2 linked regions of the Saccharomyces cerevisiae S288C genome follow. Changing the gene in region 1 together with any one later gene gives a genetic interaction. Each region holds a gene or a part of one and is shown in the gene's direction. Other genes may lie near its edges.

What was found.
Region 2: mutations in PWP1 (region 1) and BRX1 together harm fitness more than expected from each alone (negative genetic interaction), as found in Saccharomyces cerevisiae (2 studies listed by BioGRID).

The regions. Positions count from the first base shown.
Region 1 is NC_001144.5:542,052-546,499, forward strand, and holds PWP1 (rRNA-processing protein PWP1), read left to right. Parts: upstream 1-1,916; coding exon 1,917-3,647; downstream 3,648-4,448. Other genes in the region: glycylpeptide N-tetradecanoyltransferase NMT1, read right to left, coding at 1-1,253; snoRNP complex protein NOP56, read left to right, coding at 4,046-4,448.
Region 2 is NC_001147.6:185,023-188,325, reverse strand, and holds BRX1 (ribosome biogenesis protein BRX1), read left to right. Parts: upstream 1-1,602; coding exon 1,603-2,478; downstream 2,479-3,303. Other genes in the region: MDM20 (Mdm20p), read right to left, coding at 1-1,302; ATP19 (F1F0 ATP synthase subunit k), read right to left, coding at 2,682-2,888; AVO1 (Avo1p), read right to left, coding at 3,114-3,303. UniProt on the Saccharomyces cerevisiae protein: Required for biogenesis of the 60S ribosomal subunit.

The DNA.
Region 1 (4,448 bases):
CCGTCACCGGGCCCGAACTTCAAATCATCCAAGAACAATGTATTATCTTGCGAAGTCAACGCGTTAAAAACATCCATATTAGCGTTTTTGGCCAAAATACAAGCGTCATAAATCAATTCACACAATCTTGTTTTCAAAGCCTTAGTAGCTTTTGGATCAAACCTGTCTTTGAATTGGAAATCTGCATCGGTGGCATAATAATACAAGTACCCGATGCCTAGGTCCTTATATTTTGTGTTATTTAGGATTGTGAATGGCAATGAGTAAAATGAGAAGAAGTCTGTAATTTTTCCATCGGGCTGTTCGACTACATATGAGAAAATTACTTGTTTATCCAATGGTAACGATTCTTCACCAATGAAATTATGTTCGAATTCTTCTTTTGTGAAAATTTGAATTAGTTCGAACCTGGATTGATATCTTTTGAACAACTCAAAAACTTGGTCAATATCTTCCTTCTTTAATTTTCTCAATCCCGCTGTCTTTGTTTTGGCCGGTAACGCATTCTCAGCAATCATATCCTCCTCTGTGTGCCCATCTGGTAACCCTGTGAAATCTACTTCATAAAGTTTCTTCCAATTCAAGGGACGATGAGTATAACGACACGTACTCACAGGTGCTGGCAAAACAATACCTGCCGTGTACAATGCATGCCAGATGTCACATTTGTTCACTCGTCTCGTAATTTCTTTAATTAGAACAGGTGTTAATCTCTTCGATCTTAGCTGTTTGTGAACGCACAAGAAATTGATTTCTACACTAGGCACTTGTTTACCTCTAACACCAAGTGTTACTGGTATGGCTGAGATAAAGGCAACTAATTTCTGTGTTTCTTTAACGCGAACACCAATATGCCAATCCTTCTTCCAACCTGGACTCTTTAAAGCCCAATTGAAGAATTCTTTGGTATAGTTAAATCTGAAGCCTGCATCGCGGTCTTCCACGTAGTTTTCATTTAGTAGAACGAAAACATCTTCAAGCTGTTTTTTGTTGTCCACATCAATACTACACCATTCGAAGCTAGACAATAAAGGTAGTGGCTTGTCAGATATATCTTCCGGTGTCTTTGGCTTATCAATGGGGCCTTCTTCCACCACCTTTTCATCGAAATCTTTGACCGGTTGCGTTCTCCAGAATTTGTGGTCTTTCATAGCTTTTTTCTGTTCTTGAGTGAATTTTGAAGTATCGTCATTATTCAACTGTAATAACTTCAATAAATTCTCTAATTTTTTCGCTTTATCCTCTTCTGACATTCTATAAATACGTTTACTACCGAAGCTCTATGACAACCAGAGCTATTGTACAGATCATTCTCTAAAAAGCGTGCAACACATATCATCTTCAATTATAGTGAATTACTTTTATCATGAGCAACGGCTGAAATTATTTTATCCTATTGTTTTATGACAGTATCCTTTCAAAAGAGTCGAAAGGATCCTCTGTTGCAAGAACTACTATTACGTAATTATACATAGTCCGCCTGCAATTTCTAGTGAGACTTTGCTTTGCTTTCCACTTTGCGATTAATATTGAGAATTTTAAACGTTAACTGAATTCTTACCCACCCATAATAAGAACTCTAACTGGCGAATTTATCATGAAACAAATCTGCAAGAATAAAAAATTAGAGAATCGTGCAATTCAATTTAATTGCCTTGTCCGTTGTAAAACTTTTCCATAGGCCCTACCTTGAGTTGATCATATGTATTATTCTATATATATTATATCCAGTCGGGTAATAAATTTTCTCGCCCTCGAAAAAAAGAAGTGAAAAATTTGTCTCGATGAGCTGAGATGAGTTTGAAAGAAGCAAAGAGTTTTAATTTGTAAACGATAGCAAGTGTACCCTCAGTTGAGTCTATTACGCCTTCCTTATTTGGAAACTTAGAAGACGAATAAAAAAAACAAAATAACTAATGATTTCTGCTACTAATTGGGTTCCAAGAGGGTTTTCCTCGGAATTTCCTGAAAAGTATGTTCTGGATGATGAGGAAGTGGAAAGAATTAACCAATTAGCACAGTTGAATTTGGATGATGCTAAAGCTACTTTGGAAGAAGCAGAAGGCGAATCAGGTGTTGAAGATGACGCCGCAACAGGTAGTTCTAATAAGTTGAAGGATCAGTTGGATATAGATGATGATTTGAAAGAATATAACCTGGAAGAATATGACGATGAGGAAATTGCAGATAATGAGGGTGGTAAAGACGTTTCCATGTTCCCGGGTTTAAGTAATGATAGCGATGTTAAATTCCATGAGGGTGAAAAAGGTGAAGATCCATATATTTCATTGCCTAATCAAGAGGATAGTCAAGAGGAGAAGCAGGAGTTACAAGTTTACCCATCCGATAATTTAGTTCTTGCTGCGAGAACAGAAGATGACGTTTCGTATTTGGATATCTACGTTTACGATGACGGTGCTGGGTTCCACAGTAGCGATATTCCCGTTGAAGAAGGTGATGAAGCTGACCCAGATGTTGCTCGTGGATTGGTTCGTGACCCTGCACTTTACGTTCACCATGATTTAATGTTGCCTGCTTTTCCACTATGTGTTGAGTGGCTTGACTACAAGGTTGGATCCAATTCCGAAGAAGCAGCCAATTATGCTGCCATTGGTACGTTTGATCCACAAATTGAAATTTGGAACTTGGACTGTGTTGACAAGGCCTTTCCCGATATGATTCTGGGTGAACCTCTTGATAATTCAATGGTGTCTTTGAAAAGCAAAAAGAAGAAGAAGAAGTCTAAGACTGGACACATTACTACTCATCATACCGATGCTGTTTTATCCATGGCACACAACAAATATTTCCGTTCCGTTTTAGCATCCACCTCTGCAGATCATACCGTAAAACTATGGGATTTGAACTCAGGTAACGCAGCCCGCTCCTTAGCTTCCATTCATTCAAACAAAAATGTTTCATCATCTGAATGGCACATGTTGAATGGTTCCATTCTTTTGACCGGTGGTTATGATTCTCGAGTAGCTTTAACAGATGTTAGAATTTCTGACGAAAGTCAAATGAGTAAATACTGGTCTGCCATGGCAGGTGAGGAAATAGAAACTGTTACATTTGCCAGTGAAAATATAATATTATGTGGTACTGATTCTGGTAATGTGTATTCTTTCGATATTAGAAACAATGAAAACCGTAAACCAGTTTGGACATTGAAGGCACACGATGCTGGTATCTCCACATTATGTTCAAACAAATTCATCCCTGGTATGATGAGTACAGGGGCCATGGGTGAAAAGACTGTCAAATTATGGAAATTCCCCTTGGATGATGCTACGAACACTAAGGGCCCAAGCATGGTTCTGTCTCGTGATTTCGATGTCGGAAATGTATTGACATCGTCATTCGCTCCAGACATCGAGGTAGCGGGTACCATGGTCATTGGTGGTGTCAATAAAGTTTTGAAACTATGGGACGTTTTTACCAATAGATCTGTACGTAAGAGCTTTAAAAGTGAACTAGAGAATGTTCAAGCAAGAGCAAAAGAAGAAGCCCAAAAAATAGGAAAAAGTTCAAGAATCGCCAGAAAATACACCAGTAACGATAACCCAGATACTGTTATAACCATTGATGATCAAGGTGAAGATGAAGAAGAAAGAGAAGGTGGAGATGAGCATGATGACATGGCATAATCTGGATATGAAAAATATTAAAGCAGAGTACATTGCAAGTACAAATAAAAAATCTATAGAAGATAATACTGTATACTAGTGTAAGAGGAGCCTCAGAAAAAAACAATATAATACATTAATATGTGCTGTTACGGTATAATTTAGCATATGATGACAATGTGGTGAATTACAGTTGTGTAACTTTTTTATATCACCCGGCATATATACGCTCGTAGAATGCGATGTGAAAATTTTCTTTTTTTTTTTTTTTCAAAGTGAAATTTTTTTGAGTGATGAGATGGGAAATGAAAAATTTTGTGCAATTGCGTAGTGTCTACAGTTTTTTAAGTAGTTATTAAAAGTGTTTTGGAAGGTATATTTCTAGGAGAAGAAGCGTGCAGAACAGTATTTAGTGAAAGATGGCTCCTATTGAATACCTACTGTTTGAAGAACCTACTGGTTACGCAGTTTTCAAGGTTAAGTTGCAACAAGATGACATTGGTTCAAGATTAAAAGAAGTTCAAGAGCAAATCAATGATTTTGGTGCTTTTACAAAGTTAATCGAACTTGTATCTTTCGCGCCATTCAAAGGTGCTGCTGAAGCCCTTGAAAATGCTAACGACATATCAGAAGGTTTAGTCTCTGAGAGTTTGAAAGCTATCTTGGATTTAAACTTACCAAAGGCTTCCTCGAAAAAGAAGAACATTACTTTGGCTATTTCCGATAAAAACTTAGGTCCTTCTATTAAGGAAGAATTTCCATATGTTGATTGTATTTCAAATGAACTTGCTCAGGATTTGATTCGTGGTGTCAGATTACATG
Region 2 (3,303 bases), on another chromosome or scaffold:
CTTGGCTTGGTAATTTTCCAATATCGTTATACACAAAAGCACGTCTTTCAATTCAGGATTAGTTTTCTTGCACTTGTCCTTGACTATTTCTAATAAGAATGTAGAACAGGAGGAATAATCCGTTACCGATTTTTTTTCCAGGGTCCCCTTAAACTTGTTATAGTTATTGATTGAGTCGCTTCCAATAAGTCCCAATTCTAGAATATTACAATGATGAATCAAATCCTTATCCTCTGGATCGTACTTAGACATAATGCTCTTAAGCATATCTATGTTAATGTGGCCGCTGTAATGATTCAAATCGATTGAACAACAAGGTTTGTTATGGTACTTTGATAAATAGTACGACAAAGATGATTCCGAAACCGAATCGGTGTACATTATATCAAGTTTCAAGCGCGCCAATCGAGTATTCCTTGAGTCTCCCAAATTTTCATCAATCCATTGTTTGACTTCGTCTTTAGATTTAGAAAGTTTGTAGGCAGCATCAATCAAGTTTGTGATCAATTCATAATCATCAAGGCCCTTTTCAATAAGTTTTGAACAAACTTCAAAAAGTTTTTGTGGAGAATTCAATAACTTGGTATGCTTCAAGATAAAGTTTTTCAAATACAAGTTTACTGAAGTATCAAAATTGGCAAAGGTAATCGCAACAATCTCTTCCGAGATTTCTCTAGATTGAGGGAATAGTTCATCCAACACCAAACAATAAACTATAATCTCTTGAACATTTTGAAATGGTTTCAAGTCTAACAAAGACTGGCGCGCTAGCCTGGAGAGCAAAATTTTCTTGGGATCTGAAAGAGTGTTTTCCTGAAACCTTGATACGGCTAAAATCGAGATTGCATTCCAAAAATAATATGCTCTTTTAGGCAGGTTTCCACTGTCACTGTATTTAGCTAGCTGTAGAGATGCTTTGCTCATTTGGTTATAATTGGAATCTTCCAATGCTTTCATAAACCAGTGATAAGACAATTCGTAGCTAGGGAATTTGAAATTTCCTCTTTCATACACGTGCAATGCTTCGTCGTATTTCCCTAACTCTACGAAGAAGTTGTGCAAAAACTCCAAGGAACGCGTGTCGCCCGTAATCGTTGTCCCTTTCAGCCCATATGGTTCTTCTAGCAGTTTATTGTAATCGAACTTACCAGGTGACTGCTTGAATTTAACATAGGTTTCCAAAATCTTGAAGTACAACGCATTGGGAAATTGTTTTTGCAATTGCCCCAGTTTTGCATAGCATTGTTTGAAGTTGGACCTGCTTACTAGTCCTAATATCTCCTCCTGTATCTTGTCGGACATGCTTCGATGCGATGATTGCTGTACCGAGCTCGTTATGTATCGTTGCTTCGCCAATGAATTCTGTTGCAGCTGACATTTATTATTTATTTTCCTAAAGCCCTCGGCGGTCCGTGGACAGTGATTTTCGTTAAAGGTGACTGAAAAATTTTAGATGCTCATCGCGATGGTTCTCAAAGAATCTATCACCTAAAAAGATACAGAAATTGCTATAATATTTACGAGTTAGAAGGTTACTTAGCCTTATTTTGCTTCACGTCTTTCTTTATACATTCGTCAGGTGTTGAAAGAGTTCAACCAAAGATGTCTTCTATCTACAAAGCCCTCGCAGGAAAGAGCAAAGATAATAAATCTGAAAAGAAGCAAGGCAATGTCAAGCAATTTATGAACAAGCAAAGAACTCTTCTGATTTCGAGTAGAGGTGTTAACTATAGACATCGTCATTTAATTCAAGACTTAAGCGGATTATTGCCTCATTCCAGAAAGGAGCCAAAATTGGATACTAAAAAGGATCTTCAACAGTTGAACGAAATCGCTGAGTTGTACAATTGTAATAATGTTCTATTCTTTGAGGCCAGAAAACACCAAGATTTGTATCTATGGTTATCCAAGCCGCCAAATGGGCCAACTATAAAATTTTACATTCAAAACTTGCATACTATGGATGAGTTGAATTTTACAGGTAACTGTTTAAAGGGTTCTCGTCCGGTATTGTCGTTTGATCAACGTTTCGAATCCTCCCCACACTACCAATTAATTAAGGAGTTGCTAGTGCATAATTTTGGTGTACCACCAAATGCTAGAAAATCTAAGCCATTTATTGATCACGTCATGTCCTTCAGTATTGTAGATGATAAAATATGGGTGAGGACATATGAGATCTCACACAGTACTAAGAACAAAGAAGAATATGAAGATGGCGAAGAAGACATATCATTAGTGGAAATTGGCCCTAGGTTTGTTATGACTGTCATTTTGATCCTAGAAGGTTCATTTGGTGGTCCAAAGATCTATGAAAATAAACAATATGTTTCGCCAAACGTCGTAAGAGCTCAAATTAAACAACAAGCTGCTGAGGAGGCAAAGTCTAGAGCTGAAGCTGCTGTGGAAAGAAAAATTAAGAGAAGAGAGAATGTTCTTGCCGCCGATCCTTTATCAAACGATGCCTTGTTTAAATAATAAGCATAATACTATCAGAGAGTTTTACATAACATTGTATATTAAAAAGATATAACAAGAAAAGAGTGGATGTAGCAACTGTCTAGTTATAGACCTCTTTTTAATAATTTAATGTTTAAATCTTGAATATCGAAAGCTGTATATATAAAGAATATTTATTGTATGTACAAAAGATCTTCAACCGCGCAGCAATCAAGCTATATTTACGCATCTTGCTTTTCCGAATGTTTCTTTAAGTAGTTTTCAATGAATTTTTCCTCGTCTTTGTTGTCTGTTTTGATGTCGACTGTTTTTGGCTTTGCGCTTTTAAAAGGATTTGGAACAACCAATAAACCTAGCAGTCCTAATGTCCCAATGGCTAGTTGGTGTGGAGGGATAGCTTTCCCCATGAAATGATAAGCAGCACCCATTGTCGTAGTTATAAATTATTATTTGAAGTCACCTGGCCTTATTCAATGCTAACGAGTTATGTGCTCTATGGGGGGACTTGCTCCTAAAAAGCTCTTTTTTTTCCCTTTGCATCGAGAAGCGGACTCTGACCAATCACCATCGAGATCGCGATGAAGTATTTTCTATACCATATTTAGATATAAACCAAAATTAATGCTGGTAAGATGCAGTATAATGGGTTTTACTTATTTATGATTCATTCTATAAGCGCTTAATAAGTTTTGTAATCGCGTCACGATCTCAGTACACTCTTGACCTGAAACTGCTTCAAAGTAGTACCTTTTGATATCATCTTGCCCCTCTCTTCTTACGAAAATTTTGAAATGCTCAGGGACTCTTTTGGATTTTTTGACAAGAACCACTTGACTAATGTGT